4 linked regions of the Saccharomyces cerevisiae S288C genome follow. The protein of the gene in region 1 purifies or fractionates together with the protein of each later gene. This does not show direct contact. Each region holds a gene or a part of one and is shown on either strand. Other genes may lie near its edges.

Region 1 (7,919 bases):
TACACTTAAGAGCTGTCTTGTTAGTGTATTATACAAGTTAAAAGAATTGAGTAATTTATGTCTTAATCGAGCGAGATCATTCAGATTCTTTGGATCAAGTGTATTTTCAGAATCCTTGGCAGTCTCCACCTTCAGGCTATTCAATGAGTCTTCAAAAATGGGCAGGAGACTATCAATTACTTTGGATATATTTTGCATGCTATCATATTTAGCAAATATTCCACTTAGCGGCATTCTAACGTCCTTGTTAAATTTCCTGCCAATAAATAGCATATCGATACAGTGCGAGCACAATCTTATGGATATAGGAATATGAAGTAAATCATCCTTCTGTATATTGTATTCGAATGGCAGATCTGACGCTGCAGACATTAAATAACCTATGCTTATTTCGTTTGAGCAGTTCCTGTTTGCATCATCACAAACAACCATACCACATAATCTGCAGTGATGCTTCCTTAGTAATAGCCCAAATGGTTCGGAACATATGTTACAAAAGAGTACACTTCTATCATCTCTCCATGGAGTAACTGTACGTTCTAACTTGGACATTTCACTATTCATCTTCAAATTATGAATAATGGATCTAGAATATGTGTTATAGAGTGTAATCAGACCATCAACTAGACGGACAAACCGATTTTCTAATTGTAATAGCCTTAAGTTTTTGTCCTCTCTTTTTATATTTCGTACCTTAAAGAATTCTGGTGTTAAATCTATTACTTCGCCATAATCGTTATAGCCAGGTTTTGTGACGAAACAATCATGGCAGCAATTGTACCATTTCCCGTTTCTGGGGTCATACTGTGCGGAAAGATTAAGTTTAATCATATTAGGAAGATGCCTTCTGCAATACAGTTTACCACATTTCCTACAATTAATGGCGCCAATATTGTTATTCAAAGTCCTTCCACATGTGTGACAGCAGCTCTTCCCTTTTTTGAATTTTTCCCAATGGCTTCTTTTCAACTTTTGCGCACTGCTATCAACAGATCTGGCCTTTTTTTGTTTACCATTGACTAAACGACTGTCATTGGAACCGAGTGAATCTTCATTATCGTTAAACCCATGCTCAACATCTAAATGTGCATTTAGTGCTTGTAAGTTATCAAACTTCCTTAGACAAATGGGACATGAAACATTTTCAAGATCCATAATAGATAAGTCGCCAGGAAATTCGGTGATATCCCTTTAAAAACCATGAGATCCGGCTTTGCTCTTTAGGTCGGTCAATTTAGCTACTGATCATATGTTTTCATTATTCTATTGTTTTCCCAAAGTATTACCCTGCCTGGAAATAACAGTGATAGCCAGAGTGATTCCATCGCCAGTACTTTTGTAATTCAGGAATACATTTATACCAATAAATGGCTCACATTTAATGTCTGCATACGTGATTACTACATATATATGTCTGCGTATGTGCTTGGCTATTTTACATTAGCGAGTTTCTATAAAGTACTAACGCCATTAGAGTTTTTTGTAACTGAAAAATGCCCTTAGAGTATGATAGCCTTTTAATAGCATCTCTCTATTCTTCGGTATGTTGACTTAAATTAATCAAAACACTAACTTTGGTTGAATAAACGCCTTTTGTTTGGAGTGAAAAGTTAATGGATTTCTTTCAATTATTGCCAATTCATTACTAGAAATTAAGTCAACAAACAGTAAAGGTTTATATTTATCAGTAAAGAAGAAGTGACCGGAGCTTTCTTCGTTTCTTTGTACATCTGTGGACTTTATTTTGTTTCCTTGGTTTAATAATACATTCAAGTTTTCGCTGATTTCCATATCAATATCGTCATCTTCGTCATCTTCCTCGTCGTTCATGAAATTACTTTCATCTGTGATAGTTAGCCCTTCGTGTGTACGTTTTTTCTGTTTTCTTCTCTTATTTATAGGGAAGTCAACATCAAAGTCTATTCTTGATATCCAAGTAGCCCCCCAAAACCATAATCTGCTACTATTTTCTATGTCTGAAAATATCCCTACACAGTTCTCTTTTAATGTCTTCCATTCTTTTGGTAAGTTATCCGTATTGTTTTTTGACCATTGAGTTAATACGCTTTCGCTATCTTCATTCTCGGCTTCCGAATTCAAATTCATATTGAATTCATAAATCTTATTGTCTGCAGTAATTACTACTACAGATTTTCTAGAAGTATTGATATGAACAGCGGTGATGAAATTATTCAAACGAGCAAGTGGTTTAGAAATCCTTGCTTTTAAGTCTAATATGTCTACGACTCCACAGCCACGAGAAATTACTGCAATGTTCTGGTCTACTTCCAAATGGTTGATCCTGTTAATATAGGGAACTTTGATACTGCTCTTAGTTGAAGTAACCTCCAAAAGTTCAACTTCTTGCGGTTTTTCATCTTCTTCAGATTCTAGATCCACAATAAATACATCATCTTCGCAAGAGCATATGACAATTTTGGAATTATCGATGAACTTGACTAATTTTGTGGAAGTTCTCAATAATAGGTCATTATCTAGTTTAGTCACTTTCAATTTATTACCTACGGGCTGTAAATGAAAAACTTTAGTGGTAGAGGGCCTCCCTACGACTAAAACTTGTCCATCAGGTGATAAAGAACAAGTTGAGATATTCTGGTCATCTTTTAAAGTTAACTTGCAAACTAGCTTATAATTCTGTTCTGTACTAGAATCGGTTCCCATTGTCCATATCTTAACAGTAGATTCGCTCCATGAAACAACAAGGCGTTGCTCTTTGTTAACTAAAACATTCTTTGAATAAGGTTCGACAGTTGGCATCTTCCTGTAGTTTCCATTAGAAAAAGAAGTAAGTGAGTTGATGACTAGTGTTTTTTCAACACCTCCTGAAACTAGAAAATCTGCACCTTTAGATTGGTATGCACATATTGCTCTAATGTCGTTTCCATGAAGCAACCTATTAGAAGAATTTACCCATCTGTTGTTCTTTTGAGATTTGTTAGTGTTTTGAGAAAATTGAAAGATTTTTCTGTCCACACCAGCACTAAAAACATAATTATTATCAGTATCGGTAGTTAGACACAGTACGTCTGCATCGTGCGCCTTAAATGACTGGTTTAGCGTGGCAAACTGGAAATCCCAGAATTTAATGGAGCCTGTAGAATCACCAGAGGCAATCTGATCAGTTCTTGGTAAATATATAACTGACCAAACTAGAGTTGATTCTTTTTTGGCCTTGTCGACCTTCATAGTGTGTAATAGACGACCCATGTTTTCGTCATTTTTTTGTGCAGACCAAATCCTTATTCTACCATCAGAACAACCACCAATCACGAAGTCATCCTTTTTCCAAGCCAAAGTCAATACTCTGGCTTCTTGTCTCATCAAAATAGTATCGTGTTCCAAGACACCAGGCCCGCCAGAGATATCTATGAGGACCACCGTCCCATTATCGCAACCCACAGACAGCTTGTCTTGTGAATCGTTGATGGAAATAGACCATATCACACCTGAATTGCAATCATAGTTTCTTAATGGTAAACCTGTTGCTAAATCCCATTCTGTTACCACAGTCGAGCCGCCAATAGAAAATAGCCTTAGAGACTCGCCGTTAACGTTGCTCCAGCAAAGGCCTTCAATTGATCTGTCTTTGCCACCTTCGATAACCATTTCCTGAAACCAATTGTTTCTAGGATTCCAGATTTCTATGTTACCATTAGATCTACCAATAGCTAATCTCAAATCGGACGGAGTTAACTTATTTATATTTGATTTATGTGAAAATGCTAGAGATGTGATTGTGGCAGGAGTGAAATCCACAAATCTGCATCTATGCACTATCATCCTTTCCTGACTGGTCATCTTCACCGGTTTGTTTCGTATTTTCAGGCTTCTTGACTTTTCTTTTAAAACTGAAAGTAGCGATGAGCTCATTCGTAGCTTTTTTCTTGTCAGTCTGAAAATTTTTCATTTGGTTTTTTGAAAAAAATCCTGCCTAATATGGTATCAAGAGGAATAACAAGAAAAAAAAATCATGGGGGATACAAAGGAAAACAAGGAGATAATGCAGGTTATACTGAATTGCTCATAGTATTAGCCTAAAGCACTTTACCTCTGATTTATTGCATCTATCGTATTCTTGAGTTATTGCGACTTTTAAAATCCGTGCACCGCATATGAAAGGGTAGAGCCTTCGTGTTTGTTTACCTTTTTAGCTCTTTGAAGATCAAACAAAAACACTTCAGTAATGCCTACAGCCTTGGATAAGACAAAGAAGTTAACAGGCCGCGCCCATCATGCAAGATCCTGATGGTATTGACATTAATACGAAAATCTTTAACTCAGTTGCTGAAGTATTTCAAAAGGCACAGGGTTCTTATGCAGGACACAGGAAGCATATAGCAGTTTTGAAGAAAATTCAGTCAAAGGCTGTTGAGCAAGGCTATGAAGATGCTTTTAACTTTTGGTTCGATAAATTAGTTACTAAGATCCTTCCTCTGAAAAAGAATGAGATTATCGGAGACAGGATAGTAAAGTTAGTAGCTGCATTTATAGCTTCTTTAGAAAGGGAGTTGATATTGGCCAAAAAACAAAACTATAAGCTCACGAATGATGAAGAAGGGATATTCTCAAGGTTCGTCGATCAGTTCATAAGACATGTTTTGCGTGGTGTGGAAAGCCCTGACAAGAACGTCAGATTTAGAGTTTTACAGTTATTAGCCGTTATAATGGATAATATAGGGGAAATCGATGAATCACTTTTCAATTTATTAATATTGTCTTTAAATAAGAGGATTTATGATAGAGAACCAACGGTTAGGATACAGGCTGTGTTTTGTTTAACTAAATTTCAGGATGAAGAGCAAACTGAACATTTAACTGAGCTTTCTGATAATGAAGAAAATTTTGAAGCTACGAGAACTCTAGTTGCTTCTATCCAGAACGATCCGTCAGCTGAAGTACGGAGGGCTGCAATGCTGAATTTGATCAATGATAATAATACTAGACCGTATATCTTGGAGAGGGCTAGAGATGTAAACATCGTTAATAGAAGGCTCGTGTATTCGAGAATTTTGAAATCAATGGGAAGAAAGTGTTTCGATGATATTGAGCCGCATATTTTTGATCAATTGATTGAGTGGGGTTTAGAAGATAGGGAATTATCAGTGAGAAATGCGTGTAAGAGACTCATTGCTCATGATTGGTTAAATGCTCTGGATGGCGATTTGATAGAATTACTAGAAAAATTGGATGTCTCAAGATCCTCAGTGTGTGTTAAGGCTATAGAAGCACTTTTTCAATCAAGGCCAGATATATTATCTAAAATCAAATTTCCTGAAAGTATTTGGAAAGACTTTACCGTAGAAATTGCCTTCCTCTTTCGGGCTATTTATTTGTACTGTTTGGATAATAATATAACAGAAATGCTGGAAGAAAACTTTCCAGAAGCCTCAAAATTATCCGAGCATTTAAACCATTATATTCTTCTCAGATATCATCACAACGACATTTCTAATGACTCTCAGTCGCATTTTGATTATAACACTTTAGAGTTTATTATTGAGCAACTATCGATTGCCGCCGAAAGGTATGATTATAGCGATGAGGTTGGAAGGAGATCGATGCTTACAGTGGTACGAAATATGCTGGCCTTAACTACACTCTCCGAACCTCTTATTAAAATTGGTATTCGTGTAATGAAAAGTCTGTCCATAAATGAAAAAGATTTTGTAACAATGGCAATAGAAATCATTAATGATATTAGAGACGACGATATTGAAAAACAAGAACAAGAAGAGAAAATAAAAAGCAAGAAGATTAATCGCAGAAATGAGACTTCCGTCGATGAAGAGGACGAAAACGGCACACATAATGACGAAGTTAACGAGGATGAAGAAGACGACAATATTTCATCCTTCCATTCTGCTGTAGAAAACTTAGTGCAGGGAAACGGCAACGTATCTGAGAGTGACATAATAAATAATCTCCCACCCGAAAAGGAAGCGTCCTCAGCAACAATTGTTCTCTGTCTTACAAGGTCATCATATATGCTAGAACTAGTTAACACACCGTTAACAGAAAACATTTTAATTGCGTCGTTGATGGACACTTTGATCACACCAGCGGTTAGAAATACCGCGCCAAATATTAGGGAGCTTGGTGTCAAGAACCTTGGTTTATGTTGTCTCTTGGATGTGAAGTTGGCTATTGATAACATGTACATCTTAGGTATGTGCGTTTCGAAAGGTAATGCATCATTAAAGTATATTGCGTTACAAGTCATTGTAGATATTTTTTCCGTACATGGGAACACTGTGGTAGACGGAGAAGGCAAAGTTGACTCAATCTCGTTGCACAAAATATTTTACAAGGTTTTAAAGAATAACGGTTTACCGGAATGTCAGGTGATAGCAGCGGAGGGTTTATGCAAACTATTTTTGGCAGACGTGTTCACTGATGATGATTTGTTTGAAACGTTGGTTTTGTCATATTTTTCGCCGATAAATTCCTCAAACGAAGCGCTGGTACAGGCATTTGCCTTCTGCATTCCAGTCTATTGTTTTTCACATCCTGCTCATCAACAACGTATGTCTAGGACGGCTGCGGACATACTCTTAAGACTATGTGTTCTTTGGGACGATTTACAGAGCTCTGTAATACCTGAGGTAGACCGTGAAGCTATGCTAAAGCCTAACATAATATTTCAACAGTTGCTATTTTGGACTGATCCACGTAACTTAGTTAACCAGACAGGTTCAACAAAAAAAGATACAGTGCAGCTTACATTCTTGATCGATGTGCTCAAAATATACGCTCAAATTGAGAAGAAAGAAATAAAGAAGATGATCATCACTAATATAAACGCTATATTTCTTTCTTCTGAACAAGATTATTCTACTTTGAAAGAACTTCTTGAGTATTCTGACGATATTGCAGAAAATGATAATTTAGACAATGTTAGCAAAAATGCTCTGGACAAGCTAAGGAATAATTTGAATTCGCTGATTGAAGAGATCAATGAAAGGTCAGAAACTCAGACAAAAGATGAGAACAACACTGCGAATGACCAATACTCGTCTATTTTGGGGAATTCATTCAATAAATCTTCAAATGACACCATAGAACACGCTGCTGATATAACTGATGGAAATAACACAGAATTGACTAAAACAACTGTTAATATTTCGGCAGTTGACAATACAACAGAGCAAAGTAACTCAAGGAAAAGAACGAGATCAGAAGCGGAGCAAATTGACACATCCAAAAACCTGGAAAACATGAGTATTCAAGACACGTCAACTGTAGCAAAAAATGTAAGTTTTGTTTTACCTGACGAGAAATCAGATGCAATGTCCATAGATGAAGAAGATAAGGATTCAGAGTCTTTCAGCGAGGTCTGTTAAAATTGATATGCGAGCTCTTCATCTATTTAAGTTGATTTTTTGGTTGTAAACATATTTGTATTTTATTCTTAGGTTTGTTAATTCTTCTACGCTTACCAGATATAGATGCTATATGTTATTGCATTACGCACATTACCCGGTGGGACAAATTATGGAAATATTCCAAGGCTATAAATTCTTTGGTGAAAGGAACTGAAATTATGTCCAGTAATGCACCAGAAATGGACATATAAAACTATTAATGCATTTTATTACAATTATCCTAAGAAAATATCCTATATATAATTAAAGTAAAAGAAATAAGATCAAAAGAACAAAATAAAGTCGAGTAGAATTTTCCTACTTGACTATATTAGAACGAAAAATGTTATTTTATCAAAGTAATTGGTTAGTAGCCGACGTGTTATCCGTTTGGGCCAATAATTCTTTCATTTCTTGCAGCTGCAATTCGGTGATTTTTATAGATTCAACTAGCTGCTGTATTTTATGATCACTAACTCCATTTACGAGCTTAACCTTCTTGTTATTACTCTCCTTAATATGATTGGACAAGACACT
Region 2 (8,492 bases), on another chromosome or scaffold:
TCCCTGCTAATTAAAGGTTTTGTTTGAATTATGATATCGCTCAAGGTGTTTAAAACATATAGCCTTGTCTCGGTTAACGACACAGATGGTAAAATTTTCCTCAACAATAAATGAACATTTTCAGTTAAAAATGGCTGAAAAGTATCCTTGTTGAAGTTCCAGTCATCAACCATGGTTCTGACAGTCTGGACTGTGGTTAACAAAACAACTTTGTCGTCTTCATCTGTCAGGAAGTTTGTAAATAACTTGTAACATAAACTTTTAGATTCTTCCGAACACTTCACAGTAGACCATTCGTTTATAATTAAAGCAACTCTTCTTCTGATAATCCTTAATTCGTCGCCTGATATGTTTGTATTTGTAGCTTCTGGTAAAAAAACCTGAATTAGTAACCTGTCAAAATCTACCATTTCACTAACAGCGGATGCACTTAATTGGAAACTTGCATAAATTGCGTCTTTCCTTAAAAAATCGTCTAATGAGTTTGATAGCTTTGAAGCATCATTTTCAATTTTCTTTAACAGGTAGGGAACCAACAGCTCAGAGAAAGTATTCATTAAGTCTTGAAAAACGTTCTCTGCACATGGTCTGATTTGATATTCGTAACTCGTGGCCATTTGTTCGTTTATCCATTCTTCTGGATCCATAAACCAATTTTCTAATTCAGTTGGTCTTAACCTCAAGTACCATTCCATTAAAGTGTCAACCAACCTTGTTATCAAATTCTCATTCAGAAATTCTGTGTTGATTTTGTTGATAGAAGCATCTATGGTTAGTTTATCACTTCTTGCTTTTAACGTAATTGCCCCCTTTTTGTGAATGAAATTAATGACCCTTTTCAAAATTAAAAGCCCTCTAATAGCAGTCTGTTCCCAAAAGTCCCCCGTGACATCAGAATTCTCTCTATATACTTTAGGGGCCTTATCGAAAATTAGCCTAGTATAAGTGATTAGAATTTGCGTAGAGCATGGCAGTAATATGAAATTAGCCGGAGAGCCAGTGACTAAATTGAAATATAACTTTCCTAGGCATTTGATAAACTTTTCGTAAATATCAAACTTTTTGAAGTTTTCATGGTTTGAAATTAACATCTCAAAGTGTGAAACGGATAGTTTAATAAAATCGCAAACAGACTGATCGGTTTGAGGGCGGTCGTATCCTTCACAAATTATCCTTCTGAGCACTTTCAAAGCTAGGTAAGAAACTTGTAAACTGGAAAGATCCTCGTAGTTGAGATTGGAGGATGTCGTCCATTCTTCAAATGATTGTAAATAAATCCTGACAATTAGTGGTAATATCAAAGGAACTTTACTTTGCATAGCGGGTCGGCACCTTCCTATTCTCGCAGTACCTAATACTTTAACGATTTGATTTATATGCATCAATATATTGTAAATCTTAACTGAATCTTTTCTGATGATCTCATCGTTCAATAGGTTTTCTAGATCCTCAAATAAGGTTGGCCACTCTACGGGAAAATCTAGCCTTGCAATCCTTGCGGAAGCTTGGGCATTCTGAATACAAAGTTGATTATTCTGTTCATCGATCATTTCAAAAAGACGACCTCTTATCGAGGCTTTTTCATCTTTAGGTATAGCGTTAATTCTAGTGGATCTCCAGTATTTATCCACGCCGTTCTTAAATTGAATTACCGCCAACCATCTAATTTGTAAAGAATTAGATAAATTAAGGTAGATTGACTGTAATAAGTAATGAAATCCCGCTTGAGTCTCCCATTGTCTTAGTTGTTGTTCGGCTAATTTTTGAACATCTGACCTAATATGTTGTGGGTTACTTGCTTGTTCAAGTACTTGAACCAAGTTTAACTCGTTAAGAGACGAGGCCATTTTTGTTTAACGCCTTTTAAAATTTGATTCGGTTGACAGTTGAGGCAAGCTAAAAAGTTAATAGTTTATGGTGCCTCCTTTTTCTTAAACACAACACCTACCAAGAAGTTTGACAAATATTAAGCTACCCAATTGTTTGAAACTTCAATCTTCTTACATGGAAATGTACGCTATAGAAGTGTAATTCAAAAAAAAAGAGGCGGCTTATTTGGAGAGATTATTTTATTCATCTTGACTGAGGATGCTCATCAAACAAAAATCGTATGAAGAGATTTTTTGTATATTATGATAGTTCTATTAACATTAATGATTGTGAAGCTTTTTACGAAGTGTCTGTTCCTATTAACCAATGCATTCTCTTCCCTTCCCTTGTAACTAAGTTATACAGATATTTTTGCTTTCGGTTTGCTTTATAAACATATATATATATATATATATATATATACCTTTATATCTATTTTGGATATCCAATGGAAGAACCCTAAAGCTATGTTAATACTTTCATCACACGATCAAAAAATGTATCCATTTGCACGTTTTGAATGTTGTCAAACATGCTCGTAAAACTATTCATATTGACTAGCTTATCTTTCTTTTCGCCATTTATAAATTCCAAAGCGATATCTTCTTCATCTTCGTCGTTATCATTGGTATTTTTATCTCTAGTGTCACTTTTTTTGCCCCTAGACGACAGTTTATGCAATTGTTCTGCAAAAATATCGCTATTGGATGCCGAAGTTGTGATGGTGTTACTTACCAGGCCATCCAATATTCCTTCGTTATTAACTTCATCAGATAGTTGAGTATTCACAGTGGTTCCGACAACACCTAGTGTTGATTCTATGTCCAAAAATATGAAATCAGTATCATAATTCCAACCAATCCAAGATATGTATTCATGATGCGTAAAATTACCCAATTTTGTAGATAAGTCAGAATCGAATATAATAATACGGGATTTGTAATTGATAGTTGGTACGCCATCGAGATCAGTTAGTTGTTGATTTATAACCAGGGCAATGTTGCCTGTCCTTTCGTCACAAGTAATAAGCCTATCCATGTGACCATTTTTATACACTCCGTTAACAAACGGATATAAGTCAAAACTATTTATGACTTGACCCCGCAATAAGTTGATGGCGTTTAATGTAGTCCTGGTGGCCACTATTAAATTTGTGTCATTAATCAACTTGACGGTTTGGATTTCAGAGTCTAACGTGAACTCACTGACCGTCTTTGTATTTTCCAATGATTCAAACTTTTTAAAAGTGTCGAAATCTAAAATTTGCAACTTGTCATCGAAACCATGGAATATTAGAGACCCGTCTTGAGACCAAGCTAAAGAAACGGAGTTACTGAAATGATTAAAGTTTGGTAAAGAAATTTTTTTCAAGCACCAGTTGCTCTCATGAGAGTCGAAGGACCAAAATTTCAGTCCACCGTTGTTGTCAGCCGTTAAACAGCCTTGACTATTATTAACTGATCTTGGTGAAGGCAATATCTTGGTAATTGGGACACTTATCCCGTGTGGATTTATTACTTTCGTTTTCAAATTCCAATTTGTCTCATTATCGTTTTTGGTCCAAAATTTCAAGATATGAGTTAAGTCCTTGGAAGATAAGAGGTCATTTGGCGGATACTCAATTTCGTATGTAATCATCCATTGCCCATCTTTGGTGAACTTCAAATCAGTTATTATTGGGTCTTGTAAATTCAGTTCAAATCTAACTTTACCCATAGAATTGTTGACACCTGATGTTAAATACTGATAGTTAACTTGCTCATTTTTATAGAAGTCAAAAATTTGAACAGCAGAAATGTGTGGGAAATACAAGTTCTTGTTAATAGGGTTTATTTCTACATTAGTGGTGAAATCTTGTCTTCTCGATTTAATTAGTTTTCTAGATTGTTTCTTCTTAGAGTGATTGAGAGAGGTAATTGAGTTGGAGTTCTTGGTATTCATGGCCGAGATTGGTTGCTGAATGTGTTTTATGGTGCTATTGAACACCGGTAATGGCCCGTTAATCGACAATTTGGAGGTCAAATCAGAAGCATTCAAAAGTAAAAATTGGTAGTCAGAATTTGAATTGTTTTCAGTCATTTGTAGGATTAAAGAGTAGTAGTTCCCTTGAGGTCCCAATACCTGACAGTCGATTATAATACCGTTCAAACGAGGCAGGAATTGTTGAGAGTTTGTTTCCAATTGCCATAAACTCATAACTTTTTCCCAACCACCAGATAGCAAATAGGATCCATCGTGAGAGAATGAGAGTGACAGCACAGAGTCTATATGCCATTTGAGCAGTCTTATTTGTAGATCGGCCAGGCTTACGATACTTATAACTCCGGAGGCAAATCCAACAGCCAGTTGTTGACCCATATTGTCTATGGCCATGCTAGAAACGTACCTTGTGTTATAGGATAGGGATTGAGTCTGTGAAGAAAGGATGGAACCGAGGGGAAAGCTTAAATTTACAGAATCATCAAAAAGCGAAACAACTGAGATGGATTTGTGTTCGTGATCTTTTGTTGAGACGTCTTTGCACATATGCGCTAGCAGTTTACCATTGGAAGAAATATTTGACAAGATAACGTTGTGCCATTCTGCCTGATGAGCCACTTCAAATTGCTTTTTAGCATCGTCAAAGGTTAATGCATATAACCTGTACGATTGCAAAGAGTTATGTGCCTTTTGACTAGGGTCCTTGAACGTTGTCAAAATTCTATAGTTGCCCTCGCTATGGAAAACATTTGCAAGCTTTTCATCTGCCAAAGAGATTTTGAAATGCTTAGGGGACTCGACCAGCTTCCCCTTATAATTTAAAACAATTACATGACCATTATTGGTGAATACGGTAATCAGATGAGCGTCTTCTTGTTGCGGAACGGTTATATCACCCAGCAGAATCTTTACAATCGATTCATTATTCTCTTCTTCTTGCAGAAATATTCCGGATAACAAGGAGTTATTTGCAAACTTTAGAGTCTTAACACATTGTCTAGTTTCCACAGAATACACCTTGATCTGATTGTTAAAGGGTATAATATAGTTTCGTTGGTCTTGTGATAGGCGGGCGATATTCTTATTGCCGGTTACTGAACTGAGATTATTCAAAGCGGGTTTCCCACCAGATACGACTGACAGTTTATACTGTTCGATACCTAGGGATTGCGTCATTCTGGTGATCAGCTAAAATGGTTCTGGTTTGTACTTGTAGTTCCTGTGACGACAGCCAATATAACTGATATGTAAACTGTGCCAAAAATCATTTGTTCGAAAAATTTCATCTCATCTCATCGCTAGGAAAAAGAAAGGAAAATTTTTTTCTAGTTTCTCCTTCTCACATTTTACATCACTTACCACGTACCCTAAGCAGTAGGCCGCCTTAACCCTGACGTGCTATTTTGTTACCCTACTGATGTGACCGCTAGATTTTGACATGCCAAGCAATACAAATCTCCAAGAAGTTGCTGTTTGCTTTGATGAAATGCTATTCTGTGTCAAAAATGCCCCCTCCTAGGGACTTGCGTCTAGGTAAAAGCTATTCTGCACAATAACAGGTTTGATGGATGATTTTTGTTTGTTCTCTTTGGCTTTTCATTTTCGCGTCGCGTTTTCTGCTGTTGTTTGTTTTTTGTGTGGAAAAGCGGGCGGTCAAAGTTTTTTGTTTATCTGCCTTTATTTAAAGAGGAGGAGCAACTATAGATTTGGGGAGTTGTTATTTATGGGCACCTGATAATGCTTGGCAGCGAGGGAAGCAATTATAATACAACTAAAGCAACATGGCACCCAAGAAATCCACTACCAAGACCACAAGTAAGGGCAAGAAGCCTGCAACCAGCAAAGGCAAGGAGAAATCAACTTCCAAGGCCGCTATCAAGAAAACCACGGCAAAAAAGGAGGAAGCTTCCTCCAAGAGTTACAGGGAGTTGATCATTGAAGGGCTCACGGCTTTGAAGGAACGTAAGGGATCCAGTCGTCCGGCACTCAAGAAGTTTATCAAGGAAAACTACCCGATCGTCGGATCCGCAAGCAACTTTGATTTGTACTTCAACAATGCCATAAAGAAGGGTGTGGAGGCCGGCGATTTTGAACAGCCAAAGGGACCCGCTGGTGCTGTGAAACTGGCCAAGAAGAAATCTCCAGAAGTAAAGAAAGAAAAAGAGGTCAGTCCAAAACCCAAGCAAGCCGCCACTTCTGTGAGTGCAACCGCATCAAAAGCGAAAGCCGCATCCACGAAGCTAGCGCCAAAGAAAGTAGTGAAAAAAAAATCGCCTACTGTTACCGCCAAGAAGGCCTCTTCGCCTTCTTCATTGACCTACAAGGAAATGATCCTTAAAAGCATGCCTCAACTTAATGACGGTAAGGGCTCCAGCCGTATCGTTTTAAAGAAGTATGTCAAGGACACTTTCTCCTCCAAGTTGAAAACAAGCTCAAATTTTGACTATCTGTTCAATAGCGCTATCAAGAAATGTGTTGAAAACGGCGAGTTAGTGCAACCAAAGGGCCCCTCCGGCATTATTAAACTAAACAAGAAGAAGGTCAAACTCTCCACGTAAAAAGTGAATATCCAAACGAGAATGTCAATGGTGATAGCAATACTATCAAACCTATTTTCTTTCTTCATTTTTGTGTCCCATCACTATTAGTATTTTGTATTATTTCTAAATTTTTTTCTCTCTAATTTTCAATCTTATTCAAGTGTTTGTTGGCGGTACTGTAAATTTTCATTTTTTAATCTCTCCCTTCTCTATTTGTTACTTATTCGGTAAATATCTCCTTTATGATTTTATTCAAATTCCATTCTTAACTAACTAACTATACTGTTTATAAATTTCTCTTCTCTTATATATGCAAGGTACAGTGTGTAAAATTAATTATTGTATTTGAAGAAAAGGCTTTAAAATCTGAACATTTGAAGCCCTAATATTCTGCACCGTGCCCTATTAATTTTCGCCCCTTTCCGTAGAAGCCCGGCGAGACCTCATTCCGACTAATTTTCCTCAATGCTTTGCCCTTCCTTGTAAACATTATAATAAACAATCATCTCAATATTGGCGTTTTGCTCCTATATCCTTGCCAACATTTAAGATTGTGGCTGTCCCATCTGCGACAGAAATCATTTTACATTAGTTTTTCTTTACTCACTTCTTTCCCCATTTGTCATGGATTCGCAAGTGCCCAATAATAACGAAAGCTTAAACCGCTTCAATGACATCATCCAAAGCCTGCCTGCAAGAACTAGGTTGACCATATGCTCATTATGTCTGCTGGACAATATCTCCACTCAACTACTGAGGTTTCTTATCCTTAATGCCAACTCTCCCAATATTATAGCGGTTTTGACGGACCAGACGGCTTTCCTAAGCTCAGGCGAAACAGAAATTTTTCAAACGTTAGTCAAGCTCTTTAAGCAGATCAGAATGATTTACCACACCAGATCTCCGTTACTGTCTGTTCACGACGTGGCGCCTGGTTTATGGTTTCCCAACTCCCCTCCCCCCCTTATATTGAGAGGCCACGAAGCGTTTATTATTACTGCCATAAGAAAGGCGAATCTGCTAACATTTCTATTGACGTCGCTGAACTGCCTTAATTACGGGTTTGAGCTGCTACAGTCGATATTTCTCGATATTTTCTGTCCAAATACAAACACTGTCGGTAACAACTCCCTGGAACAAAGCGGAAAGTTTTTGAAATCGCAGGCTATCCTATATCTTGATCTGAAAACACAGGCTTACATTGCCGGCTTGAAAGAGTTTCAGGACGAGACGAACGAAATTTCTTTAGAAAAGAAACAAGAGCTACTAGACTTAATCTTCCCATCCAATCTGGCTGATATTCTCGTGCAGAGAAGAACCGGCGATTCTGGAGACATTACACTTTTGACTCCATCGGAGAAGGACTTCGTCGAAAGGTGCGATCGTCGGAGAGAAAATTTAAAGATCGTCCAAGATTTTAACTCTCTGACCCAGAGCTACGAATGGGCTCAATTTATCAGAGAGTTGCTGGATTATTGTAATAAAAATATGGGTCTCATCATATGGGGCAGAAAGGGTCGCGGAAAATCACCATTATATGACTTTGATGTCAACGAGTTTGATCCTCAAGTACTCTTTTCTACAGGGACCAGGACCGTAGAATTCATGGACGACCAAAATCAGCCAAGCAGTGCGTCTGCTTTTTTGTCAACTGCTCGTCCGAATCATTACAGCACACATACACCTACCACAGATGTGTCTTCCAAAAACCCCGCTATCACACAATCCATTGTGGATGCCGCTGTTGCGGCCTCGATGAGCAACAGCAGCTCTGGTCCTCATTCCTCTCATAACAACAGCAGTAACAGCAACAATAATGGTAGTATCGGATTAAGAAAACCAAAGGCGAAAAGAACTTGGTCCAAAGAGGAAGAAGAAGCATTAGTGGAAGGCCTGAAAGAGGTTGGCCCATCGTGGTCTAAGATTCTAGATTTATATGGTCCCGGTGGTAAAATCACGGAAAATTTGAAGAACAGGACGCAGGTACAACTGAAAGATAAAGCCCGTAATTGGAAATTACAATACTTGAAGAGTGGCAAACCATTGCCTGACTATTTGATAAAAGTGACCGGTAACTTGGAGAAAATCTACAAGGCAAAGAAA
Region 3 (8,308 bases), on another chromosome or scaffold:
CAGTGGGCCAAGAGATTAAAGATGCGGATGCCCTTGCCGAGCAAGTTACCTACAGCGAAGCCGATGATTAGGTCTACAAAGATGTACATGAATAGCGGGTAGGTAAGCATGTGAAAGACCACGTTGGCGACGCACGAGAGGTGCGCGGCAAGCATCTGGTACTTCGTGTTGGTAAACAAGATTCGGAAAACGGGTATGTCTTGAGGAAGCAGAGGTGGCGCTTCAATGGAAGCAATTTCGTCGTCATCATTATCGTAGTCTTCGTCGCGCAAAGTGTCGTGGTTGGAGGTGTTATCACCCTCGTCTTCGCCTTCAGCGCGTCTCCGTTTATTATTATTGGTGGCCGTGGCGGTCGTGGTGTCTGAAGAGAGCGAGAACAACGTGTCTCTGTTGGAAGAAGGACTTGGAGAGCCACGTGCACTATTCACCATGACGGGCGTAGATTCAAGATCATTCAGAGGGATGGTGTCAACCGGACGGTACTCCTTTTTCGATGCTAATGAGACGGGGACAGAAAGCACCGCAGCGAAGAAGTGAACAAGCATAAAAACGAGAAGTAGCACAGAAGTGGTGCCATAGATATTATGCGCATACCAGTCTTCTTCCGGGAAAGTATTTTTGAACACGGACAATGCCATTACGGACGAAATACAAATGCATAGATTAACAAACAGCAGGGGTAAGTACCACCTAGAACGGGCGGCGCTTAGCGCCAGGGACACAGGGTAGAGCACAAATGCAACCAAGAGCAGCGTAATAATGTGGTAGCGAAGGGCAGACCTATTCCCAGCCTGTGTAGTAAAGTAGGTTGTGGTGTTGTAGTTTTCCCAGTACAATCTCTCCGCAGGGGTAAGCGAGGGCGATTGCAGTATAGGAAGGCCATGCAAATGTTTTGGTTCATGTGGCACGGGGACGATTGAAGCCGTGGATGAGACATCTATGGATTGAGACGTTGTCGTATCGATATTCATGTCCATATCCATGTCCATATCCATGTCCATGTCCATGTCATCATGGGCCGTGACAAGCGTCGCCGCGCAGCCGAATAAACTTAAAATTGAAACAAAACGCACCATTACTCTCACTATTTTGTTTTTGGTTGGGGTATTAAGAGTACAATGCAAAACAAATACTAGCGAATTATACAATAGACAAGACCCTTGCAAGTATTCTTATAGAGCGCAGTGTCTACCGCCGCTGCCACTCCCCTTATAACCAAAACGGTCCGCTAAGAGCCGGTAAAAAAAATCCGGAACAAAAAAACCGCGAAGAGCTCCGTGGAAAAGAAAACTGTGACCGGTGGCAAAAATATCGGTCTTCGGCGGCTAATTTGCCGTGCTTCGTCGTAACTGATTTTTCTATATCATGGATCGTGCTTCTTAGTTATTCTCGTGTCGTGAAACCTAGATATAAGTTTTCATCTATATAGTGAACATTGCAATATGCAAGATATGTTGCCTTAGTTCCGTTAGTTGCCAATACATGAACTGTATGCCCGCAAAGATGTGCGGGAAATTCTTTACAAGGTAGATATGTATTTAGAAAAGAGAAAAACCAAGGGTGTATAGTTTCGTACTATGAAAATCGAAGTTTTAAGCGGCAAAACACTTGTGTATAGATAATTGTAGTATTATTGTGGTATTTGGTATTTGCAGTATTTTCTTGGCGCTACGATGTGCTTTTTATTTTTGTTTGTTTTATTCTCCTATAGAGTAAGGAGACCTTATATTGTTTTTCTCTTGGTAGAAAGTTGACGCGCGAAGAAAAACATAAAAAAAACTGACAAGATACTACTATTATTAACCATATACACGGAAATACCCACAGAGTATACAAACACACATATATATATATATATATATATAATTTTAAAGATAAATTAGAAGTGTTCCCTTTCTCTTTTCTCAGGACCGGTCGTATCCCTCCGGTAGTTCATCAACCTCTACAACAGGGATCTGTACTGAACCTACCGCTCCCTGTGCCAGCTCTAGACGATATTGCAATTTGGATCTGATAGCTACATGCTCTGCCGTTGAGGTGTACCGCAGTCCTTGCTGGCACATTTGAATAGCCTGTGTATATTCACCCAGTTTGATCAGCGCCATGGCTTTGTTGCTGTACCCGACCGGGTTCTGCGGTTGAGCAGTAATTAGTTGGTCATAACAGTGCACAGCCTCGCGATACAGGCCCTGTTTGAACAAAGAATTGCCCTGTTCCTTCTGCTTTTCAAATTGGCTCATGCTCTTTACCGTTGCTCTCTCTTTCGCAGTGCTGAAAAGAAAAAACCGTTCAAGAAAATTGCGTCTTGTGCAGTCATATACGCTGGGATATATATATATATAGATATATATACATATATATAGGAATATGTAACAAGAAAAAAAAAAGAGAGAGGAAAGAAAAGCTCAATGGATGACGATCACGAACAGTTGGTCGAAGAACTGGAGGCCGTCGAGGCCATCTATCCGGATCTTCTCTCCAAGAAGCAGGAAGACGGAAGCATCATCGTTGTGAAAGTGCCGCAGCATGAATACATGACACTGCAGATCTCCTTCCCGACACACTACCCCTCCGAGGAGGCTCCTAATGTCATCGAAGTTGGTGTCTGCACTTCTTTGGCTAAGCGCGATCTCTACGATACCAAGTACCTTCAGCATTTGTTCCAGGAAGTGATGGACTCTGTTTTCCACCGCGGATCTGTCTGTCTATTTGACTTCCTCACAGAACTCGACGGTGTCTTGTACGTTGAACCAGAGGAGGAGACAGAACCGGTCCAGCAGAGTGACATTCCCACAGACCCCTTCGAGGGCTGGACCGCGTCGGACCCCATTACTGATAGAGGCTCGACTTTCATGGCCTTTGCAGCACATGTTACCTCCGAGGAACAAGCGTTTGCCATGCTAGACCTACTGAAGACCGACTCCAAGATGCGTAAGGCAAACCATGTCATGAGTGCATGGCGAATCAAGCAGGATGGCTCTGCGGCAACATATCAAGATTCCGATGATGACGGTGAAACGGCCGCCGGCTCCAGAATGCTGCACCTCATCACCATCATGGATGTGTGGAACGTCATCGTTGTGGTGGCCCGTTGGTTCGGCGGTGCCCACATAGGTCCCGACCGGTTTAAACACATCAATTCTACGGCAAGAGAAGCTGTTGTCAGGGCCGGCTTCGACTCGTAATCATTATGATTATGTCAAGCACCTGTAACCTTGATCACATGCGACGGGAGTTCTTTTTGAAATTTTTTGGAAAAATTTTGCGATGAGCTGAAAGATGAAAAAAAAAAAAGTTTCGAGTATAGTTCTAGGTATGTACAATAACTAGTATAATATCAATAATAGTAATAATAGTATCGTTTTCAACAGGTAGACAGGAGAGCAGACCGCAGATTGAACCGCATCCCAATGAAATCCGATTTCAAGTTCTCTAACCTTTTAGGTACGGTCTACAGGCAAGGTAACATCACCTTTTCCGATGATGGCAAGCAACTACTCTCACCGGTGGGGAATAGGGTCAGCGTGTTTGACTTAATCAACAACAAATCGTTCACGTTTGAATACGAGCATCGCAAAAATATTGCTGCCATTGATCTGAACAAACAAGGCACATTGCTGATTTCTATTGACGAGGACGGTCGCGCCATCCTTGTCAATTTCAAAGCCCGTAACGTGCTTCACCATTTCAACTTCAAAGAAAAATGCTCCGCTGTGAAGTTCAGCCCTGATGGGAGACTCTTTGCATTAGCCTCAGGCAGGTTTTTACAGATTTGGAAGACTCCAGATGTTAATAAAGACAGACAGTTTGCTCCCTTCGTCCGCCATAGGGTGCATGCGGGACACTTTCAAGACATAACGTCTTTGACGTGGTCACAAGATTCCAGATTTATCCTTACGACTTCCAAAGACTTAAGCGCAAAAATATGGTCCGTAGATTCAGAGGAAAAGAACCTTGCGGCGACAACATTTAATGGGCACAGAGACTACGTTATGGGTGCGTTCTTCAGTCATGATCAGGAAAAAATCTACACTGTAAGCAAAGACGGTGCTGTCTTTGTCTGGGAATTTACCAAGAGGCCATCCGATGACGACGACAATGAAAGTGAAGACGACGACAAGCAAGAAGAAGTAGATATTTCGAAATACAGCTGGAGAATCACAAAGAAACATTTTTTTTACGCAAACCAAGCCAAAGTAAAGTGTGTCACCTTCCATCCAGCAACAAGGCTTTTAGCTGTCGGATTTACTAGTGGGGAATTCCGTCTTTACGATTTGCCTGATTTCACTTTGATTCAACAGCTTTCTATGGGGCAAAACCCAGTCAACACCGTTAGCGTCAACCAAACCGGCGAATGGCTGGCGTTTGGTTCCAGCAAACTGGGCCAATTACTAGTTTACGAATGGCAATCGGAATCGTATATCTTGAAGCAGCAGGGCCATTTCGATTCCACAAATAGTCTTGCATACTCTCCGGATGGTTCACGTGTAGTGACAGCATCCGAAGATGGGAAAATCAAAGTTTGGGACATTACATCAGGGTTTTGTTTGGCCACTTTTGAAGAACACACCTCTTCAGTTACTGCTGTACAGTTTGCGAAAAGGGGTCAGGTCATGTTCTCATCATCGTTAGATGGTACGGTGAGAGCGTGGGACTTAATCAGGTATCGTAATTTTAGAACATTCACTGGTACTGAAAGAATCCAATTCAATTGTTTAGCGGTGGATCCATCAGGTGAAGTGGTTTGTGCCGGGTCCCTGGACAATTTTGACATTCATGTTTGGTCCGTGCAAACTGGTCAATTATTAGATGCTTTGTCCGGACATGAAGGCCCTGTTTCGTGTCTTTCATTTAGTCAAGAGAACAGTGTCTTAGCTTCTGCATCATGGGATAAAACAATTAGAATCTGGTCCATATTTGGTAGAAGCCAACAAGTAGAACCTATAGAAGTTTATTCCGATGTTTTAGCCTTATCAATGAGACCAGATGGTAAAGAAGTTGCAGTATCTACCTTAAAGGGTCAAATATCCATTTTCAACATAGAAGATGCCAAGCAGGTGGGCAACATTGACTGTAGAAAGGATATAATATCTGGTAGGTTTAATCAAGATAGGTTCACTGCCAAAAATTCTGAACGATCCAAATTTTTTACTACAATACATTACAGTTTTGATGGTATGGCTATTGTGGCTGGTGGTAATAATAACTCCATTTGTCTATATGATGTTCCAAATGAAGTCTTGTTAAAAAGATTCATTGTGTCCAGAAACATGGCTTTGAATGGTACTCTCGAATTTTTAAACAGTAAGAAAATGACTGAAGCAGGTTCATTAGATTTGATTGACGATGCAGGCGAAAATTCAGATTTGGAGGATCGTATTGATAATTCTTTACCAGGGTCTCAAAGAGGTGGCGACCTGTCCACAAGAAAAATGAGACCAGAGGTTAGAGTTACTTCGGTGCAATTCTCCCCAACGGCGAATGCATTTGCCGCTGCTTCAACGGAAGGTTTATTGATATATTCCACCAATGACACGATATTATTTGATCCCTTTGATCTGGATGTGGACGTCACCCCCCATTCTACTGTAGAGGCGCTACGAGAAAAGCAGTTTTTAAATGCATTAGTAATGGCGTTCAGGTTAAATGAAGAATATTTGATCAATAAAGTCTATGAAGCCATACCTATTAAGGAAATCCCCTTGGTTGCAAGTAATATTCCTGCAATATATTTACCGAGGATTCTGAAGTTCATCGGTGATTTTGCCATTGAATCCCAACACATTGAGTTTAACCTAATTTGGATCAAAGCTCTATTATCTGCGAGCGGTGGTTACATAAATGAACACAAATATCTCTTCTCGACGGCTATGAGGTCGATACAAAGATTTATTGTTAGAGTGGCTAAGGAAGTAGTCAATACCACTACTGATAACAAATACACCTATAGATTTTTGGTATCAACTGATGGGTCCATGGAAGATGGCGCGGCTGATGATGACGAGGTTCTATTAAAAGATGACGCAGATGAAGATAACGAAGAGAACGAAGAGAACGATGTAGTCATGGAATCTGACGACGAGGAAGGATGGATTGGTTTCAATGGGAAGGATAACAAATTACCCTTGTCTAATGAAAATGATTCCAGTGATGAAGAAGAAAATGAGAAAGAGCTTCCTTGAAAAATATTCACTGTCCTCTATTTATGCACATTCACATCATGTATTCCCCAAGTATAGAACTATATAAAGCATTACATTTGTATTTAATATCAACAAAAAAAAATATCATCGCCAATATCGATATACATCATGATGAGAGCGCCTAATATAAACTGAGGCTACCATTACGGGAGTCGTCCTTTGACTGACGAGGCTATTTTCCTTATATATAAGGCATCATCGCTTCAGTAAAAAAAAAAATAGGAAGGGAAAAAATGAAGAATTGATGGGATGAGGAAAAAATTTGACACAAATTTATCGACTACCGTTTCATACTATCATCGGGAGAACAATTACACTAAGCCTTATAAAATTATTGATTCATCAAAAAAGAAGATAACTAAATAACAATGCCTATGAACAATTTTCTAGATGAATTCAATTTATTTGATTCAATCATTACCATGATGAAGAACGACCCATGTTGCGTCGAGGATTATGAGCCAATCGTCGAAAACCTGAACCGTATATTTCAAAGGACGTTTAATGATGAAGAACATAGGAAATCAATGGCTAACTCCCAGCTTTTTTGGGAACGATTAAGAGACACCTTGGAAGCAATGCTGTTGCCAGCGTCGTTAAATGAGAATAGCTCAATACCGTATACAAGAACAGTGAGGGGCCTTATCTTAATGATGAGAAACCTTGCCGCTGAAAACCAGGAAATACCCCAAAAGCTTTTACTACAAAACCTCGTAATTCGTGGTTTTCTGCATGCAACTAGTGAGTATGTCGTTGACACTCCGCTAATCAAACATCTATACATCGCATGTTTAACGTGCCTTTTCAATATACAGCAGAACTACTCTACAGTGGATATGACTACTTTTCCAGCTCTTTTACAATTTCTTCAATACCCTTATGGGATCAAATTGGAAGACGGTGAAGAAGAAGAGCATTTCTGGCTACCATATTTATTTCTTTTCAAGACGTATCTCAACAATGATGAATTTTCCAACGAATTTTTCAGGGATAATGATACACCCCAGAAAGACTATTATTGTGTTAGGGATAGAATATTTTTCGATATAGTGACAGCCAAATTCATCCAGGATCAAGAGAATTCCTTTTTAATTGAGAAGGGCAGAAACTATCTGGATGATTCAAAATTGGAAATAACTTCTATTGACCTATCTGTCTTAGAATGTATTAGCAAAAGTCTTACAACTGCTTCTTTTGGTAAATACCTCAATGGGTTAGAAGAAAGACAGCCAGGAAAATTCACCACTTTGTTGCAGATATTGCAATTGGTTGTAACGAGTAAAGAAGATTGGAATACCTATGAGTTGACTGCAATTATGTCATGGTGCTACCCCATTCTGCAACGTCTTGCATGCAAGGATATTCCTGCCTTTTTCAATAAAAGTTGTAACGATTATGCTCCTTCAGTTGCCATCCAATTACACTCCACTTTACTTTCTTGCCTGGACATAATTTCTGACTTGTGCAAATTCAATCATGTTAGAAAATTCTTAATTTCGTATGACTCTGTGAAAATATTGGTATCTCTCTTGGATACTTTCCAAAAGAATTTGTTGAGGATTAATTTTTTGAAAGGAAACGGTGATACGGTGAATGAAATTAAAATCACAGATCATGAAGGTAACAAAATCGAGGACCGGTTATTAATTTTCAACCGTGTTAATACCAACGAATCCTTTATTAGGGCTGATAATTTTCCCCATTGTAAATTAGTAATAATCGAAATATTGGCATCGTTAGTGTATGCACATCCTGAAATCCAAGATCAAATAAGAGAATTAGGTGGTCTTGCATTAATTCTTTCCAATTGTGTCATCGATGATAATGATCCGTTTATCAAGGAAAGATCTATTGTTTGCTTGAAGTTTTTGTTAAAGAATAATGCCAAGAATCAGGAATATGTCAAAAAAATGGAAGCTCAAGACGTTGTTCAAGACGATGCATTGAGCAAAGCTGGGTTTGAAATATCAGTTGAAAAGGGCGGGAAAGTTAGATTAGTATCTAAAGAAGAAGACCCTGGGAACGAGAATTCTGAGATTATTAGCATAGATGAAGATTAATTTTATGGTTCCTTACTCTCGCAATCATGATTCACTTTGATTAAC
Region 4 (8,390 bases), on another chromosome or scaffold:
TAATTCGATAATTCTACCGACAACAGTGGTTTTGTTTGGCTCAGCAAACGTGCAGCACCATGATCTTGGTAGATTTCTTCTTTACCCTCACCTTCCCCACACCATGTTTGCTTGCTACCCGTGTGTAATGCTATCAGCGCGCGTTTCTTTTTTTTTCTTGCTAACATTTTTCAACTTTAAAATGAAACGATGCATGAGTGATAGAGGCATTGAACTTTAGTAAACAATAGAAATAACCATCGGAGTTATTATTTTTTTCTGCTTATTCTTTGGTCGCAAAAAAGTGTGTTGTATAATTCTTTGGAATATTTATAAAAACAGGGAATACTCTAACAACAAACGCTAGTGCTTAGCTACTCTTCCGCTGGTACTTCAATATAGCTTGTCACATATTTTTGTCCATTAAGGTCGTTAAAACCCGAATAATTTTGTACGATCAGTTTAGTAAAAGAAATACAGTATTCAAAAGCTAACGGTTTATTATGACTGTTTCTACTTCCAAGACCCCAAAAAAGAATATTAAGTATACCTTAACACATACTTTACAAAAATGGAAAGAAACTTTAAAGAAAATTACCCACGAAACGTTGAGTAGTATCGATGACTCTAGTGGAAGCGATGAAAAAATAGAGGCTCTGTTTACTGTGTCTCAGCCTGCCGTCGTAGCCTCCAAGGGTATAGACAGAGATAGTGGTGCTTCTATGTCGCAGGTAGGAGGAGGTGTCAATAGTACATTGGAGATGAAGCTCACAGATGAGAGTGAGGAATCTAGCTCTGCTAATAACACGACCACAACCGCCTCGCATACTCTATCGAATTCGAAGAAGTCTACGCAGAACTTTGAAAACTATAACGTAGTGGAGGAACGCATAAAATTAGCACAGAAAAGTAAGGCGCCGTTTTGTAACGCTGAGAAAATCTGGAAACGAAGAAGACAACTCTGGACACAACCCACTGAGCAAAGTGAAAGCGCCAATAATGACGGAGTTACTCGAAGGGAGATTTTCCAAGCTATACCTCAGGAATATTATGCTCGAGTTTACAAGAAACTGGTGGTAGATGATAAGCCATTGAGAGAGCCTCTAAATCTGGAAGATGCTTTACAAGTCATAAATGCAGGCTGGACGGAAACGAGAAAGTGGGCTAATGCTGCCAAGGGCATGCCATGACTGAGTGTCGACGTCCTTTTTGTTTTGCCTTATAGCATCTTTTCCTTTCTTCAAATTTGCATTACACAACTTTAACTCAGTTAAAGAACTTCGTCATTTACTTATTCTTCTTTTTTTTCTTACCCTTCTTTCTCAAATCTTATTTCTGTATAAAATACGTATTGATTCATTCCATTAATAATAACATATAATAATAGTACTAATTTAAAAACATTGAATATATTTATCGTTTTATTTCGAGTTGCGATTCTTTTCTATCAGTTGGTACGTCATTTCAAGGATTCGGAGATCCCTATCCACAAGCTCTGCTTCCTTTTGTAATGCTTCGGTATGCCCCATATACGGAGTGTACTTTTCCAACATATAGTTAATAGGAGAAACACACTTATTTTTAAATGAGTCGTCATGAAGTCGCAATAACTTCTTCAACTGTACATTTAAAATATATGATTGATTATTTTCAATTTCTTGCAAAGTCTTCGAGGCTTCTGTTCTATGCGGAGAGTTGATTATTTTGTCGAGTAATCGGTCAAGTTCTTCAGACCTGTTTGGCATTTTTACGATTATCCAGTTCACACACATTGAGAATGTAAGGAACATTTATTTATTGTCGATCATTTATTAAATGTGGGAGGGACCCTTTAAGAACACTGCAACAAACCCAATAAATAATTCTTGGTTACCCTCTCAAAAAACATCATAGGAAAAAGAAAAATATACAATCTGCCTTTGTTACTAATATACTTGTTCTATATAATGCTCACGCGGTGGTCACAAAAGCTGCCACTCCCATGCAAAACTTCACAAGATCATCTAATCTGTCTTCCTTCTTATGTACATCCTCCCAATTTTGAAGAGCAGAGGCAATATCTTGATTCTTGTTGTTAGCATGAATAACATCACCGTGTGCCTTAAACAGTAAGCTCATAAACGTTTCATAAAGTTCGAAATTTTTATTGCTCTTCAACCCCTGTGTTAACGCGTCGATAAACCACACAATTTCATCAAATGGCTCAAAGGAATTCAATGATCTTATCTCCAAATCCACTGCAGCAGGTGAGAAATTTATTAGAGTGGCCAGCAATGATGAATAGTCCTTGGATTGTGAGCCCTCTCGTAATTGCTTTGTGAAATGTGATTCAAACCCTAATCTTCCTGTAACTTTGAATTTATTCATTTGCTCTTCTGCATCTAACTTCTTTTGTGCTTCTTGATCTCTGCGATGGATTTCTTCTGGTGTTTCATGTGCTATGCCTTCTCTGACAGAGGCTTCATCCCCAACCTTTTCCCCAGATAGTTGCAAGAAAAATGGAAGCTTTTCTGATTTCTTTGGAGCTTCCTTTGGCTTAGAACGTTTTCTGATAACATCTAAATGAAGCAATGTGTTCATTTTACTTCTAGGTCCTATTGATAAAGTCAACAGCTCCTTATCAATCTGTTCCAATGATGTATAAGTGTTGAAATCAATATCATTTAGGTCTTCTCCTCCATTGCTTTCTAAAGCCCCTGATAACATCGAGTCGTTCCCTCGAACAGATGTGCTAGGTAACGCCATTCTTGCAAATTCAGACTCATCGATGGTTCTTGTCGATACTGTCTTAAATTGTGCTCTGTTCGTCCAGATGCATATACCATTACCAGTAACATGGGTAGTGGCAAGCAAGTCACCATTCGGAGAAAACTTTACATTCGTAGCGACATTATCTACTATGATACCATCGATACATCCTCCGGTTGGAAGATCCCACGTTCTAATGGTGGAATCTAGAGAAGCGGAAACAATCCAACGGCCCTCAGGTGAGAAATCAAATGCAGTTATTCTATTACTATGACCCCATAATTGACGAACAACTCTTTGAGTAACTGCGTCAATAACAACAATTGATAAGTCGTCTAAAGCCAATGCAAATAGATCGGAAGAACGATGATAAACCATTGCGGTAATAGGTGCATCCAATTTCAATTTTCCCAACAAGGTTGACTTGTTAAAGTCATAAAAACCAACAATACCGTCTAGTCCACAAGAAACCATTTTACGATTCATACCATCTAAGGATATACCGGTGACTGCTCTTTTGTGCAATTTGTATTTTTTACGGAGTATACCACTTTGCATATTATAGATGGTGATAGAGCCGTTAGAAGAACCGATGAATCCAAAATTACCACATTGCGACATGGCCACAGATTTAACAAATCCATCATCAGTAGTATCAAAAGTCCACCTGCCAACTCTTTTATTTCGCATATCCCAGGTTCTTGCAAACTTTTCATCTTTATGTGCAGTGATAATGTTTTCCCATTCACCTATTCTGGCATTTTCAATTGCAAGAGCCACTATTTCAGGAAATTTAGACTTAATTGTACTACCACCTACCCTGCCGCCATCTTGTTTCTTGTGTAACCTTTGTGACATTTCTTGCGACTGTGCATCTTTACGCAGAGAAAAGCTCCATAATGATCTATCTTTGGATGCTGATAGCATGAAGTGTGATTGCGAATCAGCAAACGCAATGTATGAAGGTGGTTGAGAATGACCCCCTCTGGAACGTAGATATCTTGGCGGTTGAACAACTACATCACCGCTTCCTTGAGATAATGACGGATCGAAAACGTACTCCTTCAGGGAATTGTCACCACCTGATGTAACAATAATGGGTTGACCATTTAAAAAAGTAGCCTGAGTGACACCACCGTACGATTCTCTATGAATGTTCTTCAAAACGTGTATTCTTGAACGGCGATCTAAATCATAAAATATTAGATCACCACTGCTCGTTCCCACACTCAAATGAGAAGAACCGTCGGTTCTGAAACTCAATGAGGAGATTCTTGATTGCGGAATCTTAATTGTGCGGATCCTTTTACCTTTTCTCATATTAAACATAATAACCTCACCGGTCACGGTACCTAGAGCAATAATATCCAGGACTGGAGCGGGTTCAGCAGTTGTGATTTGGTCTGGAAATTCGTTTGATGTGAATACAAGCTTCCCGGTTCTGACGTTAAAAAGTAAAACGTTAGATTTGGTAACGACAGTTAATTTATTCAAATAAGTTGCCAAATGTTGTAAAGACACAATTTCGCCACCTTGAATTTCAGTAACGGTAAGTTTAGTGTAGAATTCTGATGGATATTTATCTTGCGGATCGGACTTCTTGTATATAAAGATGGAATTGTCGTCGGTGGAAGCGCAAAGATAATCTCCGAATATGCACAAATGTTCGACATTTGCATCAGTTTCTAGCTCAAGCAAATGTTCCTCAATACCCCTCTTGTAAATACCAACCTTGTTTTCATATGCTGCGTAGACGTAGTGAAAGTGTGCTGATAATGCTACAATTGAGGATGGTGTTTCTTTCTCGGAAACAAAAAGTAAATGTAAGGTATTCGCATCATATATCTGAAATGTTTTACCAACACACGTTACAATGTAAAAGGTAGATCCCAATGTACCAGTAGCAAAAGGAACACCATTGCTAACATTACCAATAATCCGGAAAGGGGAAAATATCTTAGAATTTTTCCCTCTACTTCTTACGTCTTCTTCGACTTTTCTTTTTTTCAAGTCGATAGACATAATGTACTATTCCTAACTCGCTATAGCCTTTTCAGTGTCTTATTCCTTGCTGCTGTTTCGCTGTATATTTATTGTGCTTAGGACTTATTAAATTTCATTAGCAATCTCATCGCGAAATTTTTCTCAAAATTTTTCAGTTAAAAAAAAAAAAGCACGTGCTCAAAAATGTTTTTAGAAAATCATTTATTTAAGATAGGAAAAATGCAATTAATCATTGAATCAATATGTTCACCACTTAAATTACCCACTGAGCATTTCATACAAATTCAAAAGCATCTCGTAGCATATTAATATATTGCAGAAGGTCATGAGTGGGATAAAGAAGGAACCGATTGAATCTGATGAGGTTCCTCAACAAGAGACAAAAAATAACTTACCTAGTGCACCTTCTGAGATGTCACCCCTTTTCCTAAACAAAAACACACAGAAGGCTATGCAATCTATTGCACCAATATTGGAGGGTTTCAGTCCTAAGACGTCAGCTAGCGAAAATATGTCTTTGAAATTGCCACCTCCCGGTATTCAAGATGATCACAGTGAAGAGAATCTCACCGTGCATGATACTCTGCAAAGAACCATAAGCACTGCACTAGGAAACGGAAACAACACCAATACAGTTACAACTTCCGGTTTAAAAAAGGCAGACAGTGAATCAAAGTCAGAAGCTGATCCTGAGGGGCTCAGCAATTCTAACATAGTCAATGATGCAGATAACATAAATTCCATCTCCAAGACCGGATCGCCCCATTTACCTCAAGGAACAATGGACGCTGAGCAGACTAACATGGGAACTAACTCTGTACCTACTTCATCAGCTTCTTCACGCAAATCCTCGACTAGTCATCCCAAACCTAGGCTACCCAAGGTAGGGAAGATTGGGGTATGTGCAATGGATGCAAAAGTCCTTTCAAAGCCAATGAGACACATTTTGAATCGTTTAATTGAACATGGTGAATTTGAAACTGTCATTTTTGGAGATAAGGTGATTCTAGATGAAAGAATAGAGAATTGGCCAACTTGCGACTTTTTGATATCTTTCTTTTCTTCAGGATTTCCCCTAGATAAAGCAATTAAATACGTCAAGTTACGCAAGCCTTTCATTATCAATGATTTAATAATGCAAAAGATTTTGTGGGACAGGAGATTATGTCTACAAGTATTAGAAGCCTACAACGTTCCAACACCTCCTAGACTGGAAATCAGTAGAGATGGTGGTCCCCGTGCCAACGAAGAATTAAGGGCAAAATTACGTGAGCATGGCGTAGAAGTTAAACCCGTTGAAGAACCGGAATGGAAAATGGTTGATGATGATACTTTAGAAGTTGATGGGAAAACCATGACTAAGCCCTTTGTTGAAAAGCCCGTTGATGGTGAAGACCACAACATTTATATATACTATCATTCTAAGAACGGAGGAGGCGGTCGTCGTCTATTCCGTAAAGTTGGTAACAAGTCTTCTGAGTTTGATCCTACTTTGGTTCATCCTCGTACGGAGGGGTCTTACATTTATGAGCAGTTTATGGATACCGATAATTTCGAAGATGTGAAGGCTTATACGATTGGTGAGAACTTTTGTCACGCTGAAACTAGGAAATCACCTGTGGTTGATGGTATAGTTAGAAGAAATACTCATGGTAAAGAAGTTAGATATATTACTGAGTTATCAGACGAAGAGAAAACCATTGCTGGGAAAGTTTCCAAAGCTTTTTCACAAATGATCTGTGGTTTCGATTTGCTTCGCGTTTCTGGTAAAAGTTACGTCATTGATGTTAACGGATTTTCTTTTGTAAAGGATAACAAAGCTTACTATGATTCATGCGCCAATATATTGAGAAGTACCTTCATTGAAGCCAAAAAGAAGATGGATATGGAAAAGAAGAATCTGCCCATTATTCGTGAAGAAAAGGAACAAAAGTGGGTATTCAAAGGACTGGCTATCATTATCCGTCACGCGGACAGAACACCAAAACAGAAATTCAAACATTCATTCACTTCGCCTATTTTTATATCGTTACTAAAAGGTCACAAAGAAGAAGTTGTCATTCGGAATGTAAATGATTTAAAGATTGTTCTTCAGGCCTTAAGAATTGCGTTAGATGAAAAAGCAGGAAATCCAGCTAAAATTAAAGTGTTAGCAAACGCTCTAGAAAAGAAACTGAATTTTCCCGGTACGAAAATACAATTGAAACCGGTTTTAAATAAAGAGAACGAAGTGGAAAAAGTTCAGTTTATTTTGAAATGGGGTGGTGAACCCACTCATTCTGCCAAATATCAGGCTACGGAACTCGGAGAGCAAATGAGACAAGATTTTGACCTATTGAATAAGAGCATTCTACAAAACATCAAGATATTTTCATCGTCTGAGAGACGTGTTCTTCATACGGCGCAGTACTGGACCAGAGCTCTTTTTGGGGCCGATGAATTAGGTAGCGATGAAATCAGTATTAGAAAGGATCTTTTAGATGACAGTAATGCCGCCAAAGATTTAATGGATAAGGTGAAAAAGAAGTTGAAGCCACTTTTAAGAGAGGGTAAGGAAGCTCCCCCACAATTTGCCTGGCCTTCAAAGATGCCGGAGCCATATTTAGTCATAAAGCGAGTGGTTGAATTGATGAATTACCATAAAAAAATTATGGATAACAACTTTGCTAAAAAGGATGTCAACTCGATGCAAACAAGATGGTGTACTTCTGAAGATCCTAGTTTGTTTAAGGAAAGGTGGGATAAACTTTTCAAAGAATTCAATAATGCTGAAAAAGTCGATCCTTCTAAAATTTCTGAATTGTATGATACTATGAAGTATGATGCTCTTCACAACAGGCAGTTCCTAGAGAACATATTTGACCCGGGTCTTCCAAATGAAGCTATCGCCGATGAACTCGGCAGTCATTCTTTAGTTGACCGATACCCAATTAACGTTCTCGCCAAAAATAATTTTAAGATAATAGACAGTCATAGCATGAACAATTCTGGAAAGAACAGTAGTAATAGTGTTGGGTCGTTAGGATGGGTTCTGGAAAGCGGAAAAACATCTACAGCAAGAAACCCCAAATCTTCTTCTCAATTCGATGAGCCACGCTTTATGCAGTTGCGGGAGCTGTATAAGCTGGCCAAAGTATTGTTTGATTTTATCTGCCCCAAAGAATATGGTATTTCAGATGCAGAGAAACTGGATATCGGTTTGTTAACTTCGTTGCCTTTGGCAAAGCAAATACTAAATGATATAGGAGACATGAAAAATAGAGAAACTCCAGCTTGTGTTGCGTACTTCACCAAAGAGTCCCATATTTACACTCTATTGAATATCATATACGAATCTGGTATTCCAATGAGAATCGCTAGAAATGCTTTACCAGAACTAGACTACTTGTCGCAGATCACTTTTGAACTTTATGAGAGTACGGATGCTTCTGGTCAAAAATCGCATTCCATTAGACTAAAAATGTCTCCTGGGTGTCATACTCAAGATCCGTTAGATGTTCAATTAGATGACAGGCATTATATTAGTTGTATTCCAAAGATTTCCCTGACGAAGCATTTGGATATGGACTATGTTCAACAGAAATTGAGAAACAAATTTACCAGGGTCATTATGCCTCCGAAATTTACACCAGTAAACATTACGAGCCCCAACTTGAGTT

Evidence for each region.
Region 2: the proteins of UTP4 (region 1) and NAN1 purify together in Saccharomyces cerevisiae (affinity purification with mass spectrometry; 7 studies listed by BioGRID). This does not show direct contact.
Region 3: the proteins of UTP4 (region 1) and PWP2 purify together in Saccharomyces cerevisiae (affinity purification with mass spectrometry; 7 studies listed by BioGRID). This does not show direct contact.
Region 4: the proteins of UTP4 (region 1) and UTP21 purify together in Saccharomyces cerevisiae (affinity purification with mass spectrometry; 5 studies listed by BioGRID). This does not show direct contact.

What each region holds. Positions count from the first base shown.
Region 1 is NC_001136.10:1,112,873-1,120,791, forward strand, and holds UTP4 (small subunit rRNA maturation protein UTP4), read right to left. Parts: upstream 3,892-7,919; coding exon 1,561-3,891; downstream 1-1,560. Other genes in the region: PEP7 (phosphatidylinositol-3-phosphate binding protein), read right to left, coding at 1-1,155; condensin subunit YCG1, read left to right, coding at 4,254-7,361; YSP2 (Ysp2p), read right to left, coding at 7,737-7,919. UniProt on the Saccharomyces cerevisiae protein: Involved in nucleolar processing of pre-18S ribosomal RNA. Required for optimal pre-ribosomal RNA transcription by RNA polymerase I together with a subset of U3 proteins required for transcription (t-UTPs).
Region 2 is NC_001148.4:306,743-315,234, reverse strand, and holds NAN1 (Nan1p), read right to left. Parts: upstream 5,026-8,492; coding exon 2,335-5,025; downstream 1-2,334. Other genes in the region: karyopherin KAP120, read right to left, coding at 1-1,847; HHO1 (histone H1), read left to right, coding at 5,631-6,407; TBF1 (Tbf1p), read left to right, coding at 7,014-8,492. UniProt on the Saccharomyces cerevisiae protein: Involved in nucleolar processing of pre-18S ribosomal RNA. Required for optimal pre-ribosomal RNA transcription by RNA polymerase I together with a subset of U3 proteins required for transcription (t-UTPs).
Region 3 is NC_001135.5:218,331-226,638, reverse strand, and holds PWP2 (snoRNA-binding rRNA-processing protein PWP2), read left to right. Parts: upstream 1-3,410; coding exon 3,411-6,182; downstream 6,183-8,308. Other genes in the region: TVS1 (Tvs1p), read right to left, coding at 1-1,076; TAH1 (Tah1p), read right to left, coding at 1,905-2,240; YIH1 (Yih1p), read left to right, coding at 2,409-3,185; CTR86 (Ctr86p), read left to right, coding at 6,572-8,263. UniProt on the Saccharomyces cerevisiae protein: Required for bud-site selection and cell separation. Also involved in nucleolar processing of pre-18S ribosomal RNA.
Region 4 is NC_001144.5:932,485-940,874, forward strand, and holds UTP21 (rRNA-processing protein UTP21), read right to left. Parts: upstream 4,750-8,390; coding exon 1,930-4,749; downstream 1-1,929. Other genes in the region: GAG1 (Gag1p), read left to right, coding at 483-1,169; BLS1 (Bls1p), read right to left, coding at 1,401-1,769; inositol polyphosphate kinase VIP1, read left to right, coding at 5,057-8,390. UniProt on the Saccharomyces cerevisiae protein: Involved in nucleolar processing of pre-18S ribosomal RNA and ribosome assembly.